7 linked regions of the Ovis aries genome follow. The protein of the gene in region 3 interacts with the protein of the main gene of each other region in a biochemical or structural test. Links are inferred from orthologs where the notes say so. Each region holds a gene or a part of one and is shown on either strand. Other genes may lie near its edges.

Region 1 (4,115 bases), on a different chromosome or scaffold from region 3:
ACCGGACAAGGGCAGGCCAAAGAGAGCAGGAAGCTGAGGGACCGGTGGGGCCGGGGGGGGGGGGGGGGGGGGGGGGGGGGCGGCGGGCGAGGAGGAGGTTGAGGGAGGAAACAGAGGCAGCTGGGGGTGGGAAAGGGAGGGGATCCCTGAGCTCAGCAATTCCCTTCCTGTCCTGGTTGAACACTCAAATTCCCTCAGCCTCCAGCCCCAGCGCCCCCCCACCACTGCCCCACAGAGGGGTGGTGGCCCTAGGGAGCCTGAGCCATTAGCCTCCTTGGCTATCACAGCTGTGGAGGGAGCTAAAGAAATGGGAAAAAGAAGGACATGGTCCCAGTGGATGCAGGGAGGGGCCAAGAGGAAAGGCAAAGCTGTTAAAGTAAGAGGAATAAAGTCCAAGCTGGGTGGCACATCAGGGAGCCACCGGGCAGGAGCTGGAGCAGAGGACAGTTTGGTGGAGGCTTGTTCTCCATGCATGGCGCCTACCATGCCAAGGAGCAGAGGCCCAAGCCAAATACTCTTCTGCCCCCCTCTTCCACAGGAAAGTAAGCTGTCAAGGGCAGAAGGGGTGAGGGGTGGCCAGGGCATTGACACTAAGGTCAGATCCCTAGACCTCCAGGTGAACACATACCCCTCCTTTTTAGTAGTGACCAGAGAGAGGGCAGGTATCCACCAAGGAGCATGATACCCCTCATATCAAGGAAAGAGTCTGACCACAGGAGATGGGGCAGTGCAACGGCTGTCCAAGAGAAGTGGCCAGGAAGGGACAGAGGCGCAGAAGTCAAATCTGTGCTCATGAGAAAGGGGTGCCAGAAGAGGACTGAGGCTGGACACAGGGAACAGTCCCAAACTCATTCCTCCCACCCACAGCATCCTGCCACAGCTCTGCTCCAGGAGGCCACAGGGGAAGTTGGAAAGCAACCAAATAGAAGTAGTAGTAAAAGATACATATACCCTCAGCAGGCTCACCTCGGAATTACCTATCTTTAAATTTACTTCAGAATATTAAAAAAATGCAAATTATTGTGATTACAGTGATTAACAATCCTGACAATGAAAACATGTTAGATACTGTGCTTACCACCGCCCCCGTAGTCCTGAACCCAGGAGAGCTTTACCACCCCATGCACCACTCCTGAGAAGAAAACCTATCACTGTTTCCTAAGGCCTCAGCACTCAGAAACAGAGAAAGAGGAAAGTATTCTGCCAAAGCCTCACCGCCCCCCACCCCCCACACACACACAAGCACACACCAGGATATCCTATCTTTAGAGGTGAGCATTCTGTGGGTGCCTGCAGAATCCAGAGACAAGGGATGACCTACAGGTGTGGGCATGTTTAGAAAAGAAAGAGGAAGTAGGGCTCTTTAAATTTACGGAGGAAGAAAGGAGATTGCTATTGGCAATCTGAAGGAAGAAAGGGGATTGCTACTGGGAATCTGAACGACTGGGTGTGGGGAAGAAGCTGCATGTGGCTTCTCAGCTCAGCAGGGAGGAGGAGGCAAGAGAGGCGGAAAGTAGCAGGAAATGGCGAAAGCCTCAGGAATGTTTCCAGCAGGGAAGGCTGGGCAAGCAGGACCAGGAGAAATGCCCAGACTAGAACTCTGTCTGGGGGAGGGGAAGAGCCAGAGAAGTGGTGGGGCCTGAAGAGTCCCTTAAAAAAAAAAAATCAAACATCAAAAAGGACACTGTTACCTACACCCATTCCAAGCCACCGTCTTCAGGTGGTAGAAAACTTTCTCTTCTGTCACACCCACATGTCACACATCGACAAATCCACGGCCCTACCCAGCTCCCGTCGTACAGGTATGAGACAAACAGCTGTTTCTGGGGTGGAGTCGGTCCTGGGAAGGGAAACTCAGGGAGTGGGGCAGGGAATCTGTGAGCAAGTCTCCCTCCCACTCTCGTGCCAAACCCCAAGTCCAGCCCCCTTCAAGTAGGTCCACCCTTGGAAGGGGCTAAGGGAGAGGGAAAGGGCTGCCTCTAATCTCTTACTCCACAGAGTCAGAGATGTGAACTTTTGACCCTATCCAGTGGAGCCTAAGAGCTCAGGAAAACTGAGCCAAGGGCCCCAAAGAGAAAAGGAACGAGGAAGCGCAAGCAGGTGAAGTTTCTGGGATTGAAGACAAAGCTCCTGAGGCGATGACAAGGGTCCAACCGGGATAACGCTCCTGAAGGGGCGTGGCCCCTCAAGACGCGTGCACCAGAGACTCCCAGGAGGCGAGGCTTCTGGACGATCCGACGTGGATTAAGGAAGGGGCGAGGCTTCTAAAGGGGCGGAACCCTTAGGGAGGCGTGGCCTCACGAATTCGAATAGTTCTTTGAGTAGCAGGGTTCTGCCCTTTTGGGAGTTAGGCTTTTGATAGACAGGGGTTAACGGAGAATAGTCTCGAGAAGGCGGGGTTTCGGGGAATCGGAAGGACTAATGCAGGGGTTTGGAAGCATGTCTGGGGGTGGGACTTCCAGGAAAGCTGGACGACAGGGTAGGATTGGGGACAGTAAATGGAATATAAGTCGGGGTTCGGAGAGCCCCCTGAAGTTGGGAGGTGGGACTTCCGGGGAGGGGGTCGCAGAGGGCGGGACTTGTAAATGAAGACCGGAAGTAGGGTCCCGGGAGAGGGGTTCCGGGGTAGAGGAGTGGGTCACCTAAGAAGAAAAATGTCCCAACTCACCAGGACTTCATGGAGTCTCCGCACCGCACCGCGGGCCGATTTGGTTCCGGATCACGCCACTGTCTCCTCAGGTTGCCGCTCCAACTTTCTCCCCGGGCCCGGCCTCCCTGGAGAAACTTTATTGCACTCACTTCCGGCCTCACTAACCCCTGACCCTGTACCTCATTGTCCCTCCTTCACCCGTCCCTCTTTCCCGAATCAACCAATGGCAGTGCGCGGACGAGCACAGTAGCAGTGATAGCCAATAAAACGTCTATTTTTTACTTACGGCAATTCTTGAGCAATGTTCATTCCAATGAGGACTTGAGTAGAAGCAAACCTAAGCCAATCGGAGGCTTGAAGGTGGGGTTGTCCCGCCTTCCGGCAGAGGGACCAATAGAAAGCGCAGGCGGCGTGTTTGAAAGCGAGGCCAAAGAGGGTGGGAGCGCGTGCTGCTGGGAGTTGTTCGGAGGTTGGCGGCGCGGGGCTGAAGGTCCTCAGGCAGAGTGATCATGTCGCACAAACAAATTTACTATTCGGACAAATACGACGACGAGGAGTTCGAGTACCGGTTAGTGCCGGCGCGGGGGCAATATCAAGGTCGTGAGTTCTGACAACTGAGGGCACGAGAAGTTGGTAACGGGGACTGAAAACTGCAGAGTTGGCGCATGCGCGGGAGGTTAACGGGAATGGGTGTGCTGAGAGTGTGAGGCGCATGCGCGAAAGGTAGGGGGGCAATCAAAAAAAACCCCTAGAGTGATAGCGAATTTGGAAGGAGGCATGGGTGGTCGTGGTTAGAGTGTTCGAATGTTAGAATACTGACCACCCTCAGCTTTGCGGGTTTCTGGACCATTCTCTCACCTCAGTTGAGTAAACTGAACTTGCCTTCCTGAGACTGCTTGTATTACAGCCACACCGTAGAGCCTTCTGGGAGAAGGTGGCAAAGGCGAAGCTTGAATTTTCTTCGAGTCTTCAAAGTGAGGAGAGTTCTAAGAGAGCCTGAGTGTTGCTTATTAATCCATGGGAAAGGGGCGTGGTTGTCTGATTTGTTTTAGGAAGGGGGGCTTCGAGGAACTGGAATCGAGTAAAACTGACCAGAACCACTGAGGAAAGACTTAATATGGCCCTAATAGATTACCGTCAAATGTTTGAAGGGCATCTACTTGGGAAACAATTATGGAGTGTTTATAGGTTTCAGGTGTTCTGCTAAAGTACACGGATAAGCCATGGTCCCTGCTTTCAACAGACCTAAAAAATATGTGGAAATACTGACAGGCTTCAGAAAGAAGATGATAATTGGTATAATAGAGCTATGTACATGTAGGTTGTGGTGGGAGCACATAGGATTTACCAAACATGATAAAGAAAGGACTCCATACAGAGTTTGCATTTGATAAGCTCTTAAGTCCATAATTCTAGATTAGAAAATAAAGCAACACAAAGAATTTTACAAATGTTGGCATTCCAC
Region 2 (3,918 bases), on a different chromosome or scaffold from region 3:
GCTGGCTCTGGGGTGCCCTTCCACTGGCATGGACCTGGGTTCTCGGAGGTGATCTATGGCCGCAAGGTCAGCACAGGGTGCAGGCTGAGACTCTGGGTTCACTGACCAAAATACAAAGCATAACTTTGCTGCTCCCCGCCAACCCCCAGCGCTGGTTCCTGTACCCTCCTGAGAAGACACCCGAATTCCACCCCAACAAAACCACACTGGCCTGGCTCCAGGACACATATCCAGCCCTGACACCATCTGCACGGCCCCTGGAATGCACTATCCAGGCTGGTGAGGTCAGTGGCTGGCAGACGGGCCAGGCTGAGCCAGGCCAAGGACCCCCATCCAACCCATCAACCCACATGTCCCCCCAACCCCTCGCCAGGTGCTGTATTTCCCGGACCGATGGTGGCATGCCACACTCAACCTCGACACCAGCGTCTTCATCTCTACCTTCCTCGGCTAGCCAAAGGGGGTGGCTGGCAAGCCCACCGCACACCAGCACACATCCCTGCAGTACTCACAGGTTTTATTACAGGGACAGAGGTGGTGGCAGCAGCCTCAGCCCAGCCCAGCCTCACCCCCCCTTTCCGGCCCAGAAGGAGGATGAGAGGCGTGTTGCCCAGCAGAACTGATGGGGGTGGGGGTGGGGACACCAGGGTAGGGATCCAGGGACACAAACTATATACAGAAAACTAGGGGCTGCTGCCCCAAGGCCCTCCTGAACTAGGGTACCGGGCAAGGCAGGTGGGTGGCCCATACACCCACCCTGCTCAGTAATCCTCTACCCAGCCATTCTCAGAGATGAAGGCATCGATGACCTCTTTCATGGCCAGGTTGGGGATGAGCTGTTCCTGGGTCAGGGGGCTCCGAGTCACAGGGTCAAAGTGGCCCACGCGCTGCAGTGACAACAGGGCAGAGTCAGGGGCTGCTCAGTGCGCGTGGGCCCTGCTGCCAGCGCCCACAGACCCTCACCTGCAGGTGCTCCTCGATGTCCTTACGGTCGTATGTGATGCCACTGGGCGTGATGCAGGGCTCCCGCATCAGCTCAAAGCTGATCTTGCCGCACAGGTAGTCAGGGATGTCTCGCTTCTGCAGCACACAGGGTTGGATCAGGTCAGGGGCTGGGAAGGGACACTGCTCTAGCTACCCACCGGCCCCAGAAGACGGGCAGCTCACCTTTCTCTTCTCGTCTACCTGGGAGAAGAGCTCGTCCATGTCTGCCAAGTACTTGTCCTGCAAAGAACCAAGCAGCCACTTGTGGGCCTGACACCCCTCTCCCCTCCCCAGACACCGAGACACAGACCCAGCAGGAGCCAGGGCACCTCACATCACAGCGCACGCACACACAGGACCCACACTCGGGCTGGGGCACCCTCACATGCTTGGCCTCAATGCAGGCCTGCTGGGCCCGTACGTGGCTGTCGTCCTCGTCACCCTCGTGGTTCCGCTGACACTCTTCCAGTTCCCTGGGGGTTGACCAAAAGGTGTTCAGAGATGGGTCTGGCCAGGGGCAGTCAGACTCCACTCCAGACTTAGGATCATTCAGGCCCCTTTCCCTCCATCTCCTGCGTGCCAGAATTGGCCTTCAATAAACACTTGTGTTCACACCTCAGAGTTAACCTAAGAGTGGTGACTCGAAGAGGGGGAGCCCACCTCTCACGCTCAGCCACAATGAGCCGTGTGAGGTAAGAGTGCAACTCATTTTCCTGGTGGATGCGTCGCTCCTCGATGCTGTTCCAGCGCTTCTTCTTTGCGATGCGCAGAGCACTGGGGATGTCATCCCCAAAGTTGAGCCGCTGCTCCTTGGCCAGGTTGTAGGCTGGGGGATAGAGCATTTGGGTAAACTTCAACCAGTCCACCCACCTGGTCCCAGGCACCCTGGAACCAGCTAGCCTGTAAGCCCACCTCGCTGCAGGTTGGCAATAGCCTCATCATAGCTTTCCATCTCCAGCTGGCATTGCCCCAGGAAGAAGTGTGCCTTCACAGACTGCCCGTCCAGCTCCAGGGCGCGCCGACAGTCGGCCAGGGCTTGCTCGTGCTGCTGCATCTTCAGGTAGCACAGTGCCCGGTTGGTGTAATACACGGCCACCAAGGGGTTCCGGGTCTGGGGACCAAGGCCGGGCCAGCCAGCATGAGGGAGTGAGCTCAGCCTGCCCACTCCGTCCCAACTTGAGGCCCGCGGTTGGAACCAAGACACTAGCATTTTCTCAGCTTCCAAGCCCCTGGGTTCTGAGGGAGGGTGAAGCCTACGTGAGCCCACTCTCTGGACTCCAATGAGTCTTGTGAAGGTAGTTTTCCCGGACTCATGGAAATCCCCAGCATCGCGTTTGACTCCTCAAGGGGCAGGGATGCCTGGTCCCCAGCCCAGTGGGCCTCGAACACCTACGGTTCCCACCCAGCACAGTTCTCTGGCAGCCCGCACTGGCTCGGGAAAGGCGCGGCCTTGGCCCCAGACCCCAAGCACCCACCCCCTCCCTCCGAAAGTCTGGCGGGCACGGCCTGACATGTTCTGAAGAGGGCGCGCGGCAGAAGCCGCAGCTCGGCCCCTCCCCTGGCTCGGACGCCAAGCCCCTCCCGCAGCGCGGGCGCACTCACGATGGCGCGGCCGTAGCAGGCCGCTGCCTCCGGGTACTTGCGGCCCACGAAGAGCCGGTTGCCCTGCTCCTTGAGCTCCTGTGCGCTCGGGCTCTTCTCGGGGCTGCCGCCGCCGGCGCCCAGCCGTGCGCCGCCCTCCTTCTCCTCCTTGCCCTTCATGGCGCCGCACGGCACCGCCTGGGCTCCGCTCCCAGGCTCCGCGCCCAGCCCGCCCTGCGCCCGCAGCCCGAGCCCGCGATCCGCTCGGGCTCGGTCCAGCGCTCCGCCACCGGAACTTCCGGTCTGCAGGTAGGCGGGGCCAGCGGAGCGGACCGCCGCACGGGTGGGCGGGGCCGTGCGTGCCCCCGGCGCGCTGTGGGGGCGGGGCCGGCAGGGAGGGGGACTCTGGCAACGCGACGCGGCGTCAAGGTTTGCGACGCGCTGGGTCACCCGGGCAGACGCCCGCCCGGCCGCGCTCCGACGCCCCGCCCCCGAGGCCTCGCCTGGCGCGGGGAGATGGCCGCGGCTGGCGGGCTCTGGAGCTGTGAGGACCCAAGCCGCTGGGCCGCCGTCTTGGAGTGCCGCGGGGCGGTGCTGCGGGCGCGCGCGGGCCCCCAGGGGCGGCTGGAAGCGCTGGACCGGTGGTAGGGCGGAGGGGGCAGGGGCGGGCGGGCCGAGCCCCGTGGCCCGGACTCCGTAGCGCCGCCTTCCCCCAGGTACCGAGAGGAGCTGCCCGCGGCCATCGGGGCCCGCGCGGAGAAGCACGTGACACTAGACGAGCTGCAGCGGCTGCTGGCGTGGAAACTGGCGGTAAGGCTTCCCACTTGGGGCGCGGCACAGCCACGTGGGTGGGGCTTCCCAGGGGGCTCACCCTCGTGGCAGTCTTGAGGGGCCTCCCAGCGAGGGCCGCCACCCGTGACACCCGACCCGACCTGGCCACAGAGGGGCCGCTTCCGACCGCGCCTGCAGCAACTCGTGGCCGCCAACTCTCCGGAGCTGGTGGTGCAGCGTTCGGCCGCCGCCTTCCGCCTCCTGCCAGACATGCACGCAGCGGTCATGGCTCTGTGCGCCCTCCGTGGCGTGGGCCCGGCTACCGCCTCGGGTTAGTCGGGAAAGCTGGACCACCCCCGGGCAGGGTCGCTGGCGGAACCTGGCCTGTTAGTGTCCTTATCCATGAAATGGTCCGACGGCCAGATACATGATACAGGAGAGTCGCTGGGGACAGCAGCCCCAGGCCCAGGCGGGGCTGAGTGCTGTCCATTCACTGCCCACAGCGGTACTGGCTGCCGGAGCTCCTGAGGCGGCAGCCTTCATGTCTGAGGAGGCAGTGGCCGCAGTGCCCGGCCTGCCCGC
Region 3 (3,500 bases):
GCACTCTGGCTCAGCGTCTGCAGCTTGGGTCCAGATACCCAGTTGGGATCTGACACTCCTTTGCTCTGCCTGGGGAAATCCCAGAAGTCCCTGCAGTGACCAGGCCACTGGTGGTCCCCAGGCCCCAACTATGACTCGAGCTGACCCTCCTTCCCCACTTTCTGGGTGGCATTGCGGGGGTGGGTATGCCTTGCCAGGAGGTTGGCATGTGAGTGGCATTGTTTGCTCGGGAAAGGGGCAGGGGGTATCCAGAGGATTCATGATTCATCATTGCCTCTCTTGGGGGATTTTTACCCATTGGCCCTGAGTCGTGCCTTTGGGACAAAAGAAGGCTTTCTTTGCCAGCCAACACCCTGGATTGAATGGGCAAGCTCCCTAAGGCTGGCCCAGTGGGACCCCCTCTGGATGCTCAGGATGGGGCAAGTTGGCGGGGGGAACCTCCTCTCTGATTTCCCTCCTTTTCCCAAACTTGCACACTTTCTTTTGCTGTTGCACGTGGCCGGTTGGAGAAGCTCACTGCGCAGGCCTTTTGACCCATCTTCTCTGTTCTGCCAGTGTGCACCGGCACAGACATGAAGCTGCGGCTGCCAGCCAGTCCCGAGACCCACCTGGACATGCTACGCCACCTCTACCAAGGCTGTCAGGTGGTGCAGGGTAACCTGGAGCTCACCTATCTGCCTGCTGATGCCAGCCTCTCCTTCCTACAGGTGAGGCCCATGGGCAAGACCCAGCCAGGCCCTGCTTCCTGCTGGGCTGAGCCCTCTGCCTGCAGATGGGTGGTAGAAGAAGGTTCCCCGCCTTACATTTTCTCTTTCGTTGTGGCTCCTGAACCGGGAAGTCATTTCTGATGTCTCACCCCATCTGTCCTACACTAAGACCAGCTGACTCTCTGTCTACAGCGTGGCTGACTGTGGACATCTCTGGGTGGAATGCATCTATTCCTGGGCTATATTTTTTGCTCTCTCACCAGCACAATCACCTTCCCTTGTCCAACTGTCCCAGCCACTGTCCCCCTCCTATCTGGAGTAATGAAAGCCCTGGCAGGTTCTGAGTCCAGTTCTGCCATTGACAAGCCCTGTGAATGTGGTCTAGCCCCTGGCTTCACTGGATCTCAGTTTCCCTGTCTGTATATTGGGAGCCATGAGTGCTTCTCTGGTGGCTCAGATGGTAAAGAATCCACCCGCAGTACAGGAAACCCGGATGCAATCTCTGGGTCAGAAAGATCCCTTCGAGAAGGAATTGGCTACCCACTCCAGTATTCCTGCCTGGAGAATCCCATGGACAGAGGAGCCTGGTGGGCTACAGTCCATGGGGTTGCAAAGAACTGGACACGACTGAGTGACTAATACTACATTGGGAGCCATAGGCATACTTGGACTCCTCCTGGGGAGCCCATTTAGAATATCATGTGGGAAATATATGTGAAAGGGTCAGGAACAGGCGAGCGAGTGGAAGCCAGCCTCTGTGTTGTGTCCCAGCGTGGGGCCAGGTGTGCGACACTTAGTCCATTGAATCCCAGACATCATCACGTCCAGGCATTTCCTTTACAGATGGAACAGCTGAGGTGTAGAGAGGGTGGGGTGCCCACAGTTTACAGAGTGCTGCCCCCACCCCCTCATTTTCTTTCTTGATCATACTAGAATTTGGTCCTAGAACCTGGTTTGGGGAGGTGGTGGGCAGACTGCTTGGCAGCTGGGCCCTTGCCCAAGATCCCCAAGCACAGGGGACCTTGAGGAGGTCTTGGGGGTTGGATGGTAGTGGTCCAGGGCCTGACCTTCCTCAGCCCTCTCCTCCTCTGTCCCTTTTCCAGGAAATCCAGGAGGTGCAGGGCTATGTGCTCATCGCTCACAATCGAGTGAGTCAGGTCCCACTGCAGAGACTGCGAATCGTGCGAGGCACTCAGCTCTTTGAGGAACACTACGCCCTGGCCGTGCTGGACAATGGAGACTTTCTGGAAGGTGCTGCCCCTGCTGCGGGCACGGCCTCAGGAGGGCTGCAGGAGCTGCAGCTGCGAAGCCTCACAGGTGACCATCTTTATCCTTGAAACTTTCTGCTGGTTACTGAGAGCTGGCCAGGGGTCCCTACTAGCCAAGGGGTGACTGTGAGTCAGAACTGGGGTCCTGTCAGAACTGGCGTCCTGGGGACGGATGCAGGTGGAACTAGGAAAGGCGCCCTTGTGAAGATTCAAAAAGATTTCCCCTCTTCCCAGGAAGTCACAGCTTGCACCAGCCCGCATAGTTTGATGATTAGGATGCAGGCTGGATTTTTGCCCACGTCTTGGCTGAGTGCACATGTACAGTGAACAACCTGTGTAACTGTACGTGGCAGCCCTGAAACAGACAGTGTTTCAGACTCTGAGTGCCCGGTGCTTTGCATGCATAATCCCATCACTCCTGCCATAATCCTGCAAGGGAAACATCAATGTTCTCATTTTACAAATGAGGAAACAGGTTTATGGAGGATAAGTCACACAGCTAGGTAGTGGTGGTGAGGCTGGGTTTCACACTCTTTTAATTGCTAAGCCGTGAGCACACAGTAGAGGTGGAGGAGAGGAGGCGGCGGCATGGGCAAGTCACTCCCCCCTGGATCTTTGTTTGTGGGTGGTATTGACAAGGCTCAAAGATGCTGAAGGGGTGTTCTCTGCTCCCTGAGGAACCTGGGGTGTGTTTCAGAGGCCTGCTCCACTTTTAGAAGGCAGGCAGGCCCCAGGGGAGATAAGATGCCAGATGGGGAAAGAAGCCCCTGATTATTGCCCACCCCACAGAGATCCTCAAGGGAGGGGTCTTGATCCAGCGGAACCCCCAGCTCTGCCACCAGGACACGATTTTGTGGGAGGATATCTTCCACAAGAACAACCAGCTGCCCCTCAAGCAGATAGACACCAACCGCTCACGGGCCTGTAAGCCTCGCTGCCCCCTGCCTGCAGCCGCCACCCTTTTTCACGCAGCCCAGCGACCCCAGACTCCTGGCTTACTCCTTGTGCCCCTCTGCTGCCGCACTAACAGCACCCGTCTCCCCTTTCTCTGCATCTCTTCATCTCTGTGGGTCTCTGTCCTGTTTTTCTCTGCTTCTAGATCATGCCTCTGGCTTTGAGGTTCTCTTTTCCTGCCTGGGTCTGCCCTTCACTGTGCATTTCACGTCCTGGTCTCGGTCTCTCTCACTGCCTCTCTGTTTCTTCCTCCAGGCGCACCCTGTTCTCCAGCTTGTAAAGCTCCCAACTGCTGGGGAGAAAGTTCTGAGGACTGTCAGAGCTGTGAGTTACAGGGCGGCCCAGGGCCTGGAGGGCGGGGGCTGAGTGACACGGGAGGGGCTGTGCCAGCCCTCGGCCTCTTCCCTGGGGCAGGAAGTCTCCCCAGAAGGTGGTGCTGGTGAGGGGCTGGTGCCTAGACTGCCGCCCAGCCCTCATCCCGCCTTGACAGTGACGCGGACCGTCTGTGCCAGTGGCTGTGCCCGCTGTAAGGGCCCACAGCCCACCGACTGCTGCCACGAGCAGTGCGCTG
Region 4 (4,235 bases), on a different chromosome or scaffold from region 3:
ATTCTGTCACCTGGGGGGCAAGGGCCAATGACAGGACAGAGTTCATTCATCCCAGGCACACCGGGACCCATGGCTAGGTGGGCAAGGGGGATCTGAGGGGGCTTGGGAGCTGGCGTGTCTCGCAAGCTACGGCGACACTGAGAACACAGTGACTAGTATCACAGGGCAAAGCAGGATGCCTGGGAGCCTGCATGACACAGTGATGACTTGCAAGTCTTCACAGGACTGGTAGTCGAACCATTTCCCTCTGCCTCCATTTCCTCATTTGAAAAAGGGGATAACGACACCCGCCATACGGGCCTGAGAGATAACTCGTGTGAAGAGGCTGGCCAGCACCTGCTTTTCCTTTCTCACACCCTTAATGTCACTTCACCAGAGGCTGTTTCTGGGGACCTTCCTTTGTGTCCCTCTTGGCTCCCTGTTGTGCTCTTCCCAATTTTTAATTATTTATGTACTGGGGCGTTTGTTTAACCAGTCATGATTTCATAGCATGCTGTGAATAAGGACCTCTCTGTTTGCCCATTTCCTCGGCATTTTCACCCACAGATGGCACCTGATGCACATTACCTAAATGGATGGAGTGATTATAAGCTCTTTGGATAGGTTTCTCATCCTTGTTTGTTATTGTTTCATCTCTAAGCTGTGCCCAACTCTTGCAACCCCATGGGCTGTAGCCCGCCAGGCTCCCTTGTCCACGGGATTCTCCAGGCAAAAACACTGGGGTGGGTAGCCATTTCCTTCTCCAGGGGATCTTGCCCATTATCCTTAGAATAATTAAAATTCTCGTTTCCATGGTAATGCTGACTTTTTCAAACAATATATTATTAAGATGTTGCAGGAAGGTGGTTTCATTCTTTGAGACAGTTTCAGTCTTTTCCTTACAGACAGAACACGATTACACCAGTGTGGGGACATGGCAGGCTCCATCCTGCCTTTGAACATCTAGCTGCTCACCATGATCATGGAGGGGCTCCCAGGGCCTCACCAGCCAACCTGTCTGAGGAGTAAAGGTGCTGCCTTAGAGGTTAGTACATTTATCTGTGAAACCATCTGCCATCTCATGCCATCGACACGGGGAAAACAGGATCTGTTAGCTCTCCCTCCTTGGGGAGCTCAGGCCCACCCTTAGGGGATGGCTCCTGGTAGCCACTTCCGGCTCAGACTTGGAAACCCTGAAGCCTTGGCAGCCCGAGCTGGTGCCGCTGCCTCCTGGGGTCTCTGCTTCCCTCAACGTCAAGGCAGCTTTTCATGGTCAGGTTTTCAACAGTCCTGCTGGTCCCAGCCTTTCCTTTCCTTGGGTATGAGGTACAGACATGGGTCCAGAAAACCCCTGGGACAGATCATGCCTGGCTAGCGCTAGGGCGTAATTCAGACCAACGGAACTCAAGCTGTGTGACCTCAGGCAAAGCACGCAACTTCTCTGAGTCTCATGTGTGAATCTGGGAATAATACTGACACCATGGGTTGTGAGAAGCTGAGCAGCCTGGCAGGGAGAGTGCGCTAAGCGAAGGTTGCTTTCTTCTCCTTGAGCAAGACAATGTCACCACAGTTACCAACCACACTAAACCCAGAGGCTTCTTCCCGCTGCAGGCAGAGGTGGGGGCTGGGCCCCAGGAGGCAGGAGAACCCTGCACTCAGGCTGCCAGCCTGCAGCACTCTGCCAGCTCCCTTCACCTGGTCAGGTCAAGGTCAGGAAGACTTCTGGGGGAAAAATGAAGACCGTGGGTGGGCAGACCTAGAAGGAGGCGGTGGTATTGGCCCAAACTTAGAGAAGAATCTAATAACTGTGTATCTGAACAACTTACTCATGTTAGGCACTTTGCAGGGGCCCAGGCACGGGCGGAAGGAAAGAGTTAAAGACAGCTGAGGTCAGCACACCGCCCATACTGTTTTGATCATTGCACTTGACCTTTTGAGAGATCCCAGGGTTTGAATACCATTCCAAACAATGACCAGGGCCCAGAGAAAGTGACCTCACACTCTGTTGGTAGCTGGTTAGTGCAGACCTGGGTCTACAGTTTCTGTGTGTTTGTGCTTCTGAAGGTAATTTCTCAGTGCTGGAGGTAAGTCACAGATTTGGATTGAGCTAAAGGGAGAACCCCTGCCCTCCCTTTTAGCTGAGAAAGATCAGCTGAAGACTTTTGAAAGAAACTGTAGACTCCAGAACTTTACTCCTCGTATCCACTGACACCATACAGCTATCACTCAGAGAGGGTCCCCTAGTCACACAGTAAGTTGGGAACTGAGATGGGACCAGAATGGGCATGAAAAGCAGCTGGAGGGAACAGCAAAGGGGGAGAGGAGGACCCTCAGAAGCCGTTTCTCACAGCCTCAGCAGAACCAACTCCCCGTCCCCTTGAGCTTATTTCCCAACTGTATAGCCCACTCCCAGTCTTGAGGGGACCATCCTTCCTCACAGTCCCAAGGCCATCAGAAAATAAAAACAAGCATACTTACTGGTTTCCTGTCATCAGAGTCTTGGGGTGGGGGCCCAGCTAAGTCACATGCTTTAGCTGAAGAGGTTGGAGCTCTGGGTGGGATGGAAAGTCTTCTGGAAGTCTGCCAATGTCCTTGGTTCTAGGCCACCTAGAAACCTCTTGGCCTGTGAGAGTCTTCAGGGAGCTTTGAGGAGCTCGGCATCTGCCTGTGTAAGCGGTCTGTACCCTGCGGATGGGACAGGAGCCCCGTGCTCCTCAGAGACCTCTGACAAGGTGGTCCTGTCAAGTAGAGCCAGGTGGGGAAGCAGGACCCGCGTCTCTGAGCTCTGCTGCAGGGTCCTCGGGGCTCCCGGCTCACATCTGCAGGCTCTGTGGTTCTCACAACCACCCGTTTCCTCTGACGGCATCACAGACCATCAAGGAGCCACCTTCCCCAAGTTCCTGTTTGTGGGGGAGAAGCAGCTGCCGCGTCACGATCCTGGAGGGAGAGGTTTCTCTTCTGGCTCTGGGGTTTGGGTCTGCTCTGAGGAACACAGACCCAAGGTAAATGGGTAGCCAGGCTTCCCTGACCACCACCATCACCTGAGGGCCTGCTAGTCTCAGATCCCTGAGACCCTCCCACATCTTCTGAATCCAAGTCAGCAGAGGAGCAGCCCCCAGACTGAATCTTGACCACACCAAGAGATTCCCCTGGCTGGCAAGTATGGGAAGCATTGCCAAGAAGGGTGGTGTCCCAAAATTTACTGTCTAGGAAGCCCCTGGGGATCTTGTTAAACAGTAGATTCTGGTTCTGTGAGTCTGGGTGGGGCTCAAGATTCTGCATTGCTAACAACTCCTAGTGGATAAAACCATGTTGACCATCTGGGAGCCACACTGTGCATAGCAGGACCTGGACAGTGGTTCAAGTGTGGTCCCTAGGCCAGCAGCCCCAGTATCATCTGGGATTTTGTTTCATAGGAGGATTCTCAGGGCCCATCTTCAAAGTAAAGTAGCTCAGTTGTGTCCAACTCTTTGCAACCCTCACGGACCGTAACCTACCAGGCTCCTCTGTCCATGGGATTTTCCAGGCAAGAGTACTGGAGTGGGTTGCAATTTCCTTCTCCAGAGTATCTTCCCAACCCAGGGATCAAACCTGGGTCTCCAGCATTGCAGATAGATGTTTTACCATCTGAGCCACCAGGGAAGACAGGGAGGATTCTTAGGGCCCATCTTAGGTCTACCCAAACAGAAACTCCATGGTGGAGGGCCAGCAACCTGTCTGCACAAGCCCTCCAGGTGATCCTTGATGCATTCCCTAACCTTGAGACTCACTCCACTAGGATGAAGAATCTCTGATAGAATTGTCTTTGATTGGTGTGCTTAAATCAGTTATTAACATTTAAATAAATTTAAATAAAAACCTCAGCTCATTAGCATCTAAATAATCATACCCACTCATTATCTCCTCTTTAAGGGGCTTAGCAATCCTGGAGACAGATGCTTTGAACGCAAAACTGTCATTTCACAGACAATGCAGCCTGTTTTGGGGCCTTGCCATACCTGGATTCACACGGTCTCCCATTCTCCTGGGGAAGGCTTGAGATTTAACTCCTGAGGCACGTGATGTGGAGAGTGGAGGGCCACAGTGGAAGTGTCTCCTCTTTAAGAAAGTTCTAACCAGCATGCTACAGTAGGTGACGACCCCTCAAGGATGTGGCCTGTGGCTGGGAGGAACCTGATCGCAGCCCCAACCACCTGCTCTTGCCTCCACACCACTGTGCTGTCCATCTTTCCATCTGACAGCCTTTCACACTGGCC
Region 5 (4,165 bases), on a different chromosome or scaffold from region 3:
GTTAACATATGTAAGGCAGTAACTGCAAAAACTGTGCAATGTTATGGTTGAGGCGTTTTATGCCATATGTGTTGATAGAATGCCTAAGCAGCTCTCTCCGCAATAAACGCAAACGCTGCCAGGCTGAATCACTAGGGCCAGCGAAATTCAACGACTGCACGACCGAAACCTCCAGGGTTGGAAGCCTACGTCGCGTATCGGAGTGTATCCAATATTTCCTCTAACAAAGGCATTATCTTGAGGCAATTTCGCGGGCCATTTTCCCCCGTCCCAGGGCCAGCTTTGTCTCCCCACCGGTGTGAGGCTGAGACTCGGAGGAGCTGCGTTGCTGAGCGAGCAAGCTCGGAGCAAGGGCCGGCGTGGGAAGCTTCTCCGAGCTGCCGCTGTGGTTTCCTGCAAACCGAGCGTGCCATTAGAGGAAGTTGGAGTGCTGCAGTTGAAAGAGATACCTGCAGCCTTGAAATCGGGGTTGGACTTGAACCGATCACTGTCGTACAAAGAAACTCAATCGGCCGGGGTGGAGGAGGCCTGGAGACTCTCGGTCTCCCAAGCTGGGCACCGGGCAAGCCGGGCTCCACTTCGTCGGAGTCCCCCACCTTGGGCAGCCGGGTAGCGGCAGCAGGCCTCTGAGGCCTGGGCTGCAGCGGGCCTCACCAGCGAACCCCCGGCGGCCACCAGCCCCGCCCCCCGGTCCCCGGCCCGCCGCCCCCCGCCGCCTCCCGCCGCAGACGTCGGCCCGCACCGCCCCCGCGCGCGGTGACTGGCTCGCGCCGGCCTCCAGCCCGGCTGTTGGCGGTTGGGGCGAAGCCCGCGGGAGGCCGCCCCGCCCCCGCCGCGGAGCCGCCGCCGCCGCGCGCTGCTCTTCCCCCCTCGCCGCCGGGGCGGTGGCGCTGTTGCCGCCGCGGCCTGTGAGGCAGTGACTCCCCAGCGCCCCAGCCCCCTTCCTCCTCCTTTCTCTCCGCTCCCTCCCTCCCCTCCCCGCCCCTCGCAGTCTCTCGCTCGAGTGAATGTGGCGCGGCGGCGCGGGACGCAGCCTCGGCCCCTGCCGCGGCCCCGCGAGCTCCTGAGGAGACGAAGCCGCCGCCTGCCCTCAGCCTTTGCGCTTCCCGGGGGAGCCACCGCCGCCTGGGAAGAAGAACGAGGAGGGGCGCGAGGGGGCGGCGGCGGGAAAACGGGAGGAGGAGGAGAAGAGGGCTCGAGGGCGAGGAGGGAAGGCGGGGAGGGACGGACGGAAGGACGGACAGCCCGACGGACGGCCCGGGGAGGGGGCCGCCATCGAGCCAGCCCGGCCCCTCGGCTCCGGCTCGGGGCGGCCGCGGCGGCGGCGGCGGCGCAGGCGAAGGGCGCGGCAGGCTCTATCGAGACAATAACCCCGCCGCCCGGCTCCGGGGGCGGCGGCGAGGAGGAGGTGGCGGCCTAGCGCGACCGCGGCTCTCCCAGCGCCGCGGCGACGTCTTCGCCCCCGCCGGCCGCCTTCGGCAGCCGTCGGGTATCGGGGCGCGCGGGTCGCCCGGAGTCCCAGGCTCGGGGCGGACGCCCCCTCCCCTCCCCCTCCCCGGCGCGCCGGGAGCTGGTTTTCCGGGTTCCCCTGGACCGAGCTGGATCCTGCTGTTCGCCAAGGCAGGAAGTGAGTTTCGCACGGTAATTCCGGGCGGTGTCACGAGTGAAAAGTTTTTTTTTCGGCGGAGATCCTAGTTGGGGCTGGGAAACTCCTGCAAAACTCGAGACCGGGAAACCAGCCCGCGCGTCCCAGCCCCCACCAAAGCCACCTACTCTTCCTTCTGCGGGAGGCCACTCCACATCCGCTCTCACCGGAGAGTGAAATTGGGCTGGATCCGAAGTGACTAATGAAGGGAAGGAAATCATGTCAGGCGAAGCCTTGAAAAAGCTGCCTTGAGACACTGCCCGACCGAAAGGTAAATTTCACGAGAAGTGTCTACGAGCCACAAAGCTCCCGGGCCAGAAAAGAGAGGAAACTTTAGTGTTTTTCGGTTTTTTTCTCAAGTTCCCCTAAATTCTCCTTTTCTGATGTCGAACGGGATAGTGTTTTAGGTGCTGAATAGTAAGATGTTACTCCCTCTTTGGTTATTTTAGAAGAGGTTGTAAGAATGAGGTGGGACGAAAAGTTTTAAGCAATCCGAAGGAAGAGTGCCTTTGTTTGGCACAAGGTCCAGAAGTCTTAGATTCCTGGAACATATACCCTGTGTATGTTTCTGATTCATTAAGTTGCTGAACCTGGCAACTTTTGTTTTGAAGAAAGTTAGGTCACTGCGGGGAGCGATTTGCTGCTGCTGAGATGGCTGCCACATTTGTTTATACGGTTACCGATTACTTGGCCTTTGCGTTTAATTGTATCTATATAGATTTGTTTTTAGTAGCAGTCTTTATGGATATATTTCATTGGGTTTTATAAAACAGAAACCTTTGCCATTCTCAGTCGTTTTTCTAGGTGGGTAATAAATAGATTTCTTCAATAACTTGTTCCTTTCAGACATTTAGAACTTGATAATACTTGTTTGGTTAATTAGTTGAAAACAACTGTCGGCTAGATTTTTCTTGTTACTGAGAGTAGAAAGAAAAAGGAGGGAGGAAGTATTGTCGATAAAGAGTGTTACGATTAAAAACACACGTAAACACCTGTGAAGTAGTTTGGTTTGTTGGGACTTAGGTGCAGTTCAGAACAGGACACAGAGAAAGGAAAGTAAAACGCTTACAACAATTTTCATGGGCATCACAGTGATTGTGATAAACATCTGTGCTTTTGGAATAGTACAGTATTTACATTTTTGTGTTGGCCCGAATGTTTTGGCCGCCTCAGAGGTGATGAGTATCTACGGTGGTGGCAGGGGTTATTGAAGCATGGGAGACATTCCACCAGTCAGTCATAAATACAAACACTTCTGAACCAATCGGTAGTCTTTATAGATCAAACCAGTTTTGGTCGGAGCAAACACGAAACGGTTTCTTCAGTGGTGTTTTAATGTGTCTTTTTAAGGTTGGTTTTTTTCCGTTTGTACTTTTGTGGTAAAGGGAGGTGAAAGATTATACTATGCTTTTGAATAAATATTAAATAAGTATGGTATTTAGTTGGTAGGTATATCTTAAATATAAATGTATGTTTAATTGCCCATGCTACCTCAAGAAAGAATAGTTGGCTTTCTTTAGTTCAAAGGAGAGAAAAGTTAGGTCATGAAGGACTAGATCAAATTATTTCACAAATACATTTCAAAATGGCAATCTTTCATCTCTTTTGAATTTTTTCCCTAAAGCTTAATCTCTAGAACGCCTTTAAAATTTTTTTAAATTGTTGCTAAGATTTGTGAACCATCAGGTAATTCCTGTTAAGTCAAAGTAACTTTATCAGGAAATTTAAAGTAGTTAACTGATCTGCTTTATGATTTTGGAACATATCATTAGGCAACGAAAGAGGTTATTCTTGGGCAGCTGAAAGAGGGGAACAAAATAAATGGCATTGAACTTCAGTCTCCTTATATGGTTTATACTTGGCTTCAGAGCAACAAAGCCTTAATAGAGCAAGTCTTTTATAGAGAGCTATCACTTTGCAAATATGTTTCTCTGCATTAGTAAATTTTACTTATAAAAAGTATTATAGCCCTGGAAAATACTTACATCCCTGTTTTTAGATACAGTTCTTGATTTTTCTTTTTCCCTTGGGGGAGCAATAGTATGTTTAAATGCAGACTTAGTTTGGTGTTGAATTAACTTAAATGAATTTTAGGTTTTAATTTATTATCAAACTATATTTTTCAAAATCTTGTTTAAAATGTGACAGTGGTTTAAAAAGATTAAAAAAAATAATTAAAATATTTTAAAATGGCTTTAAAATTTGGATGTTCTTAATATTCTAAGAGTTTTCTTGGATTAAATTGGCAAATCTAGAGTAATTCCAAGGTGTCTGAACAAAATGCACACTGAATGGCACTGCTTATTGAAGGTACTTAAGAGTTTTCCATGGTGATAAACTTAATCTTTCAACTAATGGATTCAAATATTATATTAGGAAGTCTGCCTGATGTTTGAGAACAAACTATTACAAATTTTTTCGTGTCTTAAAAGCTTACAGAGGTTCAGATACAGAAAGCAAATTTTTTATTGCATGTTTTTTCTTAATAAAGTGGTAACTATAATTAGTGATATTTCATAT
Region 6 (4,102 bases), on a different chromosome or scaffold from region 3:
AAATTGTCCTTTAGTGTCTGGACTCCTTTGCTGTGTGATTTCAAACTTCTCCAGGGAAACCTAAGTTTATATTCCTGTGACGCCACCATTCACCACTGAAGATGGACCAGGTGACAGCAAGGAGCACTAACAGGGCACGCTATGTGCCCCCAGGTCACTACAATCCTTTGGCACAGCAAAATGACCCCAAATCCAGAAGGCTCTAGGCAGACCCAGCCTTTCACTTATTTGAGTGTTGCTCTTGCTTCAGGGTTGGGGGAACCGGATGTCACTACCTGATAGCCCAGCACAATAGACTAGCTTTCTTCAGCCACAACTGACATTTAGAACTGGATGTCAGCCTTCATCCTTCAAAGAGCAAGAGTAAAGCCCTAAGCAAAGCAAGTTATTTTTTTGAAGGAAACTTTAGAGACATAAGTTTGAAAGTTCTCCCTCCATTTGGAAACTACCCTCTATGTTCAACATGACAGGTATAAAAACCTTTGCCAACATCTGTCTAACATGGTTCTTTTTTTTTCTTCAGATAGCAATTATACTATATTACACATGGCACAAGTAATATACTCTGGCATCACTTCTTAACCTCAGCGTTGTCAGGGGTTTTGTTGTTTGGTTTTGTTTCTTCTTTTTTCCTTTTGTTTTCGGCTCCTGGTTATATAACTTAAAGAAGGCATACAAGAGGAATATTCTTTTTCTTTTACAATAAACTCAACCAGCTGTGCATACTTTATGTTGATCTTCATCCCTTTTGTAAAATATATGATTAATTCACTCTCAGAAGCTAAGAATGAAGATTAAATTAAAAAGGAGACTCAAAAGGAGAACAGGTCCATTTTTAATACTGATGATCGAATTCCTTTGTTAGTACTTTTGAGATAGTTAAAGATAATCCACAAAGTCAACTGTTTCCTTTAATATTTGGTTCAGAATTATCAAGATATATTTTGCCAGGGGATGTGGTCTGTAGAATTTTGCAACTGGATCTGTAGCCAATAAGTATTAATAGCCACTAAGAGCCTGCAGGTTTCTCAGTGCGACTGACAACACTGTGGGGACAGTGTGCATCTCATTTCTCTTAAAATGAAAAGTCATATCTTGGAGTGACCAGTCTGAAATAATGTCATTTTGGCCCCTTTCCACTGTCTGGAGGCTGTCTGCCCAGCTGGAAGAGCGCTGTGGTGATTCTCTGCTGCCCAACGACCAGAAGGATGTGATAAGCATGTGGCAGGCCAGTGGAATGCTGCTAAGTATTTGTTCTTTAAATATCATAGAATACTTGCATAAGAGAAGAATTTTGTGGACTACATCAGGCATGATTGTATAATTCTCTGTGTTGGAGGAAAAAAAAAAAAAATCTACTTTCCAGCCTGTGGCTCAGCTTCCTTTAGCCTATTTAAAGGGAAGGCCAGAGTCCCCAGGGAAAAACAGTCCCAATTTTCCTTCTGCTGCTGTAAACCAAAGCAGGTATGGAAGGAAAGGCAGAAACCAAAGAAAACCTTGCTGGCTAAGAAATTGCTACCTATCTGGTATAAAGGACAGTACTTGGGCTGCACTGCAAGGAGCTGAAAATTCTTGCTGAGGAAAGAAATGAAACCATTTACCCTGCCGCCTGGGGCAAACACAGGAGAAGTAGTGACACCACCTGCCTTTCTCATCGCAGGGGCTGCCCAGTTCTTCCAAGTGTGTACCCTAGGCAGACCTGATGCACAGTTCCCAGGGAGAGTGGTCCATGCCGAGAGGGGTACTGGCCGGACACATGGCAAAGCCCGGTGGCAAAGGCATGCCAAAGGAGCGGAGCCAGGGGAAACCAGGACAGTGAGGTCGCCGAATTCAAACCTTCTCCCACCGGATGCGCAATGGGTGCGTTTGCTGAGCTGGGTCCCCCCTGCCAAACGAGCTGGCTGCGAAAAAGTGCGCACCCCGTGGCCTCCAGAGCGACCCACTGTGCCGGACGCCTCTGCGCCCCGGCTTTCCCACCCGGCGGCCCGCGCCCGCACCCACCTTGACGACGTAGGTGACTCCTGCCCCCAGCACCTGGTCGCTGGCGTGCGGGGCACGGGGCGGCGGCTCGTCGCCGGGTCGGCCCTTCCTGGCGGCGCGCATGGCCGGGGCGCGGGGGCCGGGGGGCGCGCTGCCGTCCGGGGCGGCCAGGCTGGGCGCGCTGCAGCTGCCCGAGAGCCGCGCGCCCGCCCGCTCCCTGGCCGCCGACAGGCCGCGGAGGCCCGAGCTGGAGAGTTTCAGGTGGGACACCTTGTGGAGCAGGTGGCCCAGGCTGCCCGGCCCATCGTCGGGCGCCCTGCGCAGCGCTTCTCCGGACACCAGGTAGGGGGCCGCCGCCGGGGCCGCGCGCGCCGCCGAGACCTTGCCACCGCCGCTCACCGACAGGTTGTGCAGAAGGTCATCGACCGATGTCACCGAGTCATTCCTGAAGCGGTTGTACTTGGTGCGTGGAAGCATGCCCCTCCGTGGGCTCGCCGCATCCGCCTGGGCGCTGCAGGTGCCGGCCCCGGCGCAGGCTGCCGCGCATAGCAGGCGAGCCGCGGTCCCCGGGGCGGGACGGAGCGGCCGGGACAGCAGGCTGGGGGGCGCGAGCAGCGGCGCCGGCCTCCCACCGCTAACACCCCGCACGGCCGCGGCCGCGCAGCCCCGGCCCCGGACTCGGCTGCTGAGGGCGGTACGTTCGCTTTGCAAAAGTCATAGTTTCCTCTGCTGCGCGCCCAGCTGCTTGGGGCTGCTCACAGCAAAAGCATGACTCACTCCGAGAGGAGACCCTTCTCAACAAAGGCTCGGTGAGCACTGCAAATCACTTCCTGTAGCAAAAAAAAAAAGAAGAAGAAGAAAAAAAAAAAAAAAACCACATACACCCACTGACAGCACACTAGAGCCAATCAATTCTCAAATTTCCTTTCTCTACCTTCCCAGACATTTCCTTCCAACCTTTGCTTTTTCACCTCCCCTTTCCCTGCCCCCTCTCAGCATCTATGCCAGAGGTAAATTCTGTTCTTTCAAATGAACTTTCTGAAACCCATTATTCTATGCTAGGGTTTTTTCTTCCCTGTTCAGCCCATCTGTGAGCCTGGAAAAGTGTCTGACGGTGCAGCGTTAAAATGTGACGAAGGATTTTTAAGAATAAGATCTTCAGCGGATCCTCATGAATTTTGATTTGGAAAGCAGCAGGAATTCTTAAATAGCCAAAAAGAAAAGATTCATTCCCAGGTGAACATAAAATATCAATCTCCAAGGTTTTTTTCAAGTCAACAGAGCAGCCATGACAACAGTCTTTGTGGCGATGCAGTTCCTCCCCCTCCCAGGAAAAAAAAAATATCTGCGTATGAACTTCTGCCCAGAGCCACTGAGGGTCTCTTCCCTGATAATTTACAGCAGTCTTTCTCAGCCAGGGTTAAGCTGAAAACCTACTTCTGAAAAAGAAGAGTGTTTCTTTTGATGAATGGCAACAAACTCCAGAAATCCATTCCAAAAGGGGGGCTGTGCTTGAAGCTTTATTCCAACTGAATGTGCTCAAGCTCTGGAGAAATGCCTAAGAAACGCTACAAATACATTTCAATATCCCTTTGGTTGCTGCTTGCAACCCTGCAGAAAGAAAGGGAAAAAATGCAGCTGCTGTCAGTACACATCAAGCCCGCGGAAAGATGCCTTGCTTTCAGGGAGTCAGACACCGGCTGCAAGTGAAACGCCCAGGCCTCCTTGCTGTCCGCGGAACAGAGCACTGAGCCCCTCCACCCGACCCCAGAAGGTCTGCGGAGACACGAACCCACTGACCCCTGTCACCATGGGCTCTGCCTGCCTTCAGAGGTCTTCATCGGTCTATTGAGAGAAGCTGCCCTTCACAGTGAAACGCTTTCGCTCCCTGTCCAAGTTTCCCGTCTACTTCTATACAAAAAATGAATTTACCTCTAGCACGTTATCAGATTACCCTTAGTCTTCTCACACCCACGGCTAGACATGTGACACTTGAGGCACCCAGCCTTGAAAAGCTTTATGGAACAGGGTGTGACGAGTGCCACTCAAGGTGGGCCAGGTGAGGCCCGCTGCGGGGACGCAGGAGCGTGGAGGAGCGGCAGCTCCCCTCCCAGGGCCGCAG
Region 7 (3,500 bases), on a different chromosome or scaffold from region 3:
ACTGAGGCCCAGAGAGCCGGGGGCTTCTTGGGGAGGCCCGAGGACCAGGTCTGAGGCTTTGCTTTTCGCTCTGGTTAGCCTGGAGATGGATCAGGACTGGAGGCGGTGAGTGGCCAAGGGGGCGGGGCAGGTTTTAGAAGGAGAGAGAGCGCTCGGGTCTTCAGAGGCTGGACCTACGAGATGCGCCCCTGCGCCCTCTGCTGGTATTGAGGGGGTATAGCCGCTTCGGGCGAGTGATGCTTAGTAAGAGAAGTAGATGCGGTTCTGGAGAGGTAAGGCCCTCACACAAACACGGGCATTTCTACCGGGACACCTTCAGACAGACACACACACACAGTCGGCAACTCATTCAGAGACACCCAAATAGGACACGTGCACATGTTAGGCTGAAGATGCCAGCGTAAACACAGACACACCATGGACACAGAGACACACTCAGGGACACAGGAATGGGCACCCTCCAGGCACAGACACACACCCACCGCAGATGCACACAAATGCAAAAGCACATACGCAGAAGCGCCTCCTACTCCCAGATGGAGACACAGACGCGTGCAGTCGGAGCCCTTCAGAAGCGCACACATGCTCAGCTAGCACCCATGGACACGCAGATGCACACACGTGCAGTGAGAACACACAGACACGCACCCAAGCGAGACAGACGGACCCGCAAACACAGCCATTCATTTGTTCAGGAGACAGTTGTGGCGCCCCTCCTGTGTGCCAGGTCTCTTCTGGTGTCAGGAACACAAGCAGTGTGTAAAACAGACAAAACCCTCCTGGGGAAGAGAGGCGAAGAGCGAGTTGCGTAAACTGTGCCCTGCGTTTGTGGGTGGTAACTGCTCTGAAAGAACACGGAGGACAGGGAGGGGCGCTGGGGGATGTGTGGGTGGAGGTTGCATCTTAAAATGGGCACAGAGAGGGCTTCAGGAGGGACAGTCACCCGCAGCCAGGATCGTCCCTGATGGCCCGAAGCACCCAGAGTCACACAGAGAGTCACAGAGCCGCCTCCCCAGGGGCAGTTTTCCTTCATTCACTGCTTCACTCACCCCATGGTTGTTTCTTGAACACCTGCGATGCGCCAGACTCTAGGAACAAAATAAAGATGCCTGTTACTGGGGGCTTCGGGTTCTTGGGGGGAAGACAGATACCAAACAGAAGCCAACACCCAGCATCACCTGGAGCCCGCTGGGCTCATCATGTGAACCCGCTCAGACACACGTGAGAGACCCACGTGCCTCCTCCGTGCCCTCACAGGTGTGCCAGACACATAGACACAGGGGACATGCACAGAAGCCCACCGTCTCTGTAAATGAAAGCAGGCCCCCGGGCTGGCAGTGGGGGACCCTCCCCCACCCCCAGAGTGCAGGGCTCTCCTCTGCCAGCCAGGGCCGGGCCTTCTGACACGCCCGTCTTCTGAGCAGGCGGAGTGACCACCTTCGTGGCCCTCTATGACTATGAGTCGCGGACAGAGACTGACCTGTCTTTCAAGAAAGGGGAGCGGCTTCAGATTGTCAACAACACGTGAGTGCCCCCTGGGGACCCCGATCTGGTCTTGGGCTGGAGCCACTTCTGACCATCCCAGAGCCAGCTTGATGGGCAGTGGGCGGGGCTGGACGTCAAGGCAGCCGAGGCCCAGGGAACCCATCCTGGGCATCCTGGGGTCTGTGGGGGTGATCAGGCGGGCACCCCGATGAGGTGGGTGTGGCTTTGGGAGGGCTCCAGGGACAGGGATCTGGGTTCGGTAACTGATCCACAGAGCACGGTGCTCCAGATCCCAGCACCCGCAGAGGGGCGTGTGGTCAGAGTAGGACTGGGCCCAGGACCCGGGGCTACAAACAGCAGGGCCTTTGTACTTGAAGGCTGTGCCCCAAGAGGTGCTGGAGCACCTGGGGCAGCCCAGAAAGTGAGTCTTCAGCTGTAGAGGGAGGGCCCTACATTGGCAGGGTTGGGGGACCCATATTAGGGACCCAACATGAGAGGGGTCAGGATAGGGCATGGGGAGGATGGGGCATAGGATGTGGAAGGCAGGGCACCCTAGGGTGGCATCCATGTCCCCCTCCAGGGACTCCAGCCTTGTCATGGGGCATCCTAGGGCCAAGCTGATGAACGGGGGAGCAGGGGACCCTGCCAGACTCTGGGGCCCCTGTGAGTGATGAACTGATGAGAGGGGTGGGGCTTCAGTCAGGGGGTGGGGGCCTTCCTCTCCTCCCTCCTCCTCTCCTTTCCCCGCCTGCCCAGAGTGCAGTGGGAAGTGGGGTGCAGCATCTGTCGTGGGGGGTGGGGAGTGCAGGCTTTGGGTGCCATGCCCTGGGGTGATCACAGTGGGGGCGGAGCTGCCGACAGAGGGCGGGGCACAGCTCCACACCAGCTGCCTTCCTGCCCTTGGACGGCCTGCTCTCCCGTCTCTGCCACCTCCCATCCCTCCCCCGCAGCCTCGGGGATGCCCTGCCCCACTCCTGGCCCGTGCTTGCTCCCTCCAGCTCTCTCTCAGCTTCTCCCTCTCTGCTTCTCTCTCGCTGGCCCTAGGAGGAAGGTGGATGTCAGGTGTGTACGTGCTCCCAGGGCGGCGGGCTGGGTGGGGGTGCTTCACTGGTGGGGGTGGGGCTGCATGCGCTTCCGCCTGCACCCCCTTGGCTGCACCCCCTCCGGCTTCCCCAGCTTCTGTCCTCACACCCTAGAGTTGGACCAGATCCTGACCTGCACCCCCAGGCTGAGAATGGGGAGGGTCCTCTCATCACCCCTGTCACTCCCCATCACACCTCCTCCCCATCCACCTCCTGCTCGCTCAGCTCCCCCCAAGTGCCAGCTGCATGCAGGGCCAGCGCTGGGCCTAGGGAGGCCTGGGTGGAGAAGGCCACGTCCTCCTGGGGCCAGAGTATAGTGGAACTGGCCCTAGTCCGGGCCCCGTGGCCTGTGCAGGGCATGGCTGGGATCAGCTTGGGCTTTAGGGGGCTGTGCTGTGTGCCCACCTCTGGTCGTGACCAGGGGCTGGGAGGCTCAAGCAGGACCTTGAAGGAAGCACAGTGAAGCCGAGCTGCTGGAGGGAGGTGATGGATGGCAGCCCCCCTCAGAAGGGCAGCTCCTGGGAGGGTGCAGTGCTGGAGGGGGTTACATGCCTTCAGGGCTATGGAAGGGTGAGAAGGTTCTAGAGGGTAGAGTGGGGTTGATCCCAGAGCATCCTGGAAGGCCTGGCTAAGGAGGTTGGACATCCCCACCGTCTCTAGGCATTTCTTGCTTGTTGGTGCCTGCCTGCTGTTATGCATGTTGTTCCCTCTGTGTGAAAGGCCCCTTCTCCCATCGGTCTGGCAAACTCCTACTCATCCCTCAAGATCCAGCTCAGAAGTGCCTTCCTTGTGAGGCAAAGGGGAAAAGAGGGGTAGGCATTTTTACCCACGTCCTTTACTCTGCTGCCATTCCACCAGGGCTGTAGTGATGGGGGAGGGACCATCGCCATATTGATTCCTCATATGGAATGAGGAAACTGAGGCACTGAATGA

The links.
Region 1: the proteins of ERBB2 (region 3) and SHC1 form a complex in vitro, tested with the Homo sapiens proteins (2 studies listed by BioGRID and IntAct, with this or other methods). The link is inferred for Ovis aries from reciprocal best matches to the Homo sapiens genes ERBB2 and SHC1.
Region 2: the proteins of ERBB2 (region 3) and STUB1 form a complex in vitro, tested with the Homo sapiens proteins (4 studies listed by BioGRID, with this or other methods). The link is inferred for Ovis aries from reciprocal best matches to the Homo sapiens genes ERBB2 and STUB1.
Region 4: the proteins of ERBB2 (region 3) and SLA2 form a complex in vitro, tested with the Homo sapiens proteins (2 studies listed by BioGRID and IntAct, with this or other methods). The link is inferred for Ovis aries from reciprocal best matches to the Homo sapiens genes ERBB2 and SLA2.
Region 5: the proteins of ERBB2 (region 3) and ERBIN form a complex in vitro, tested with the Homo sapiens proteins (4 studies listed by BioGRID and IntAct, with this or other methods). The link is inferred for Ovis aries from reciprocal best matches to the Homo sapiens genes ERBB2 and ERBIN.
Region 6: the proteins of ERBB2 (region 3) and SHC3 form a complex in vitro, tested with the Homo sapiens proteins (2 studies listed by BioGRID and IntAct, with this or other methods). The link is inferred for Ovis aries from reciprocal best matches to the Homo sapiens genes ERBB2 and SHC3.
Region 7: the proteins of ERBB2 (region 3) and SRC form a complex in vitro, tested with the Homo sapiens proteins (3 studies listed by BioGRID, with this or other methods). The link is inferred for Ovis aries from reciprocal best matches to the Homo sapiens genes ERBB2 and SRC.

The regions. Positions count from the first base shown.
Region 1 is NC_056054.1:105,194,964-105,199,078, forward strand, and holds the start of SHC1 (SHC-transforming protein 1), read right to left. Parts: upstream 2,801-4,115; 5' UTR 2,669-2,800; exon of another isoform or gene 1,702-2,668; coding exon of another isoform or gene 1,696-1,701; exon of another isoform or gene 1,692-1,695; intron 1,651-1,691; 5' UTR 1-1,650. Other genes in the region: CKS1B (cyclin-dependent kinases regulatory subunit 1), read left to right, coding at 3,160-3,218. UniProt on the Homo sapiens protein: Signaling adapter that couples activated growth factor receptors to signaling pathways. Participates in a signaling cascade initiated by activated KIT and KITLG/SCF.
Region 2 is NC_056077.1:1,118,100-1,122,017, reverse strand, and holds STUB1 (E3 ubiquitin-protein ligase CHIP), read right to left. Parts: upstream 2,746-3,918; coding exon 2,587-2,745; exon of another isoform or gene 2,581-2,586; intron 2,096-2,580; coding exon 1,897-2,095; intron 1,811-1,896; coding exon 1,645-1,810; intron 1,604-1,644; exon of another isoform or gene 1,458-1,603; coding exon 1,370-1,457; exon of another isoform or gene 1,225-1,369; coding exon 1,168-1,224; exon of another isoform or gene 1,081-1,167; coding exon 964-1,080; exon of another isoform or gene 888-963; coding exon 762-887; 3' UTR 501-761; downstream 1-500. Other genes in the region: JMJD8 (jmjC domain-containing protein 8), read left to right, coding at 1-66, 150-284, 374-454; uncharacterized protein LOC101103616, read left to right, coding at 2,744-2,874, 3,282-3,375, 3,508-3,667, 3,840-3,918. UniProt on the Homo sapiens protein: E3 ubiquitin-protein ligase which targets misfolded chaperone substrates towards proteasomal degradation.
Region 3 is NC_056064.1:39,822,576-39,826,075, forward strand, and holds part of ERBB2 (receptor tyrosine-protein kinase erbB-2), read left to right. Parts: intron 1-555; coding exon 556-707; intron 708-1,810; coding exon 1,811-2,024; intron 2,025-2,764; coding exon 2,765-2,899; intron 2,900-3,184; coding exon 3,185-3,253; intron 3,254-3,419; coding exon 3,420-3,500. UniProt on the Homo sapiens protein: Protein tyrosine kinase that is part of several cell surface receptor complexes, but that apparently needs a coreceptor for ligand binding. Essential component of a neuregulin-receptor complex, although neuregulins do not interact with it alone.
Region 4 is NC_056066.1:65,720,766-65,725,000, forward strand, and holds the start of SLA2 (src-like-adapter 2), read right to left. Parts: upstream 2,801-4,235; 5' UTR 2,458-2,800; intron 1-2,457. UniProt on the Homo sapiens protein: Adapter protein, which negatively regulates T-cell receptor (TCR) signaling. Inhibits T-cell antigen-receptor induced activation of nuclear factor of activated T-cells.
Region 5 is NC_056069.1:13,773,250-13,777,414, reverse strand, and holds the start of ERBIN (erbin), read left to right. Parts: upstream 1-1,365; 5' UTR 1,366-1,916; intron 1,917-4,165. UniProt on the Homo sapiens protein: Acts as an adapter for the receptor ERBB2, in epithelia. By binding the unphosphorylated 'Tyr-1248' of receptor ERBB2, it may contribute to stabilize this unphosphorylated state.
Region 6 is NC_056055.1:23,964,138-23,968,239, forward strand, and holds the start of SHC3 (SHC-transforming protein 3), read right to left. Parts: upstream 2,801-4,102; 5' UTR 2,458-2,800; coding exon 2,002-2,457; intron 1-2,001. UniProt on the Homo sapiens protein: Signaling adapter that couples activated growth factor receptors to signaling pathway in neurons. Involved in the signal transduction pathways of neurotrophin-activated Trk receptors in cortical neurons.
Region 7 is NC_056066.1:66,307,694-66,311,193, forward strand, and holds part of SRC (proto-oncogene tyrosine-protein kinase Src), read left to right. Parts: intron 1-1,424; coding exon 1,425-1,524; intron 1,525-3,500. UniProt on the Homo sapiens protein: Non-receptor protein tyrosine kinase which is activated following engagement of many different classes of cellular receptors including immune response receptors, integrins and other adhesion receptors, receptor protein tyrosine kinases, G protein-coupled receptors as well as cytokine receptors.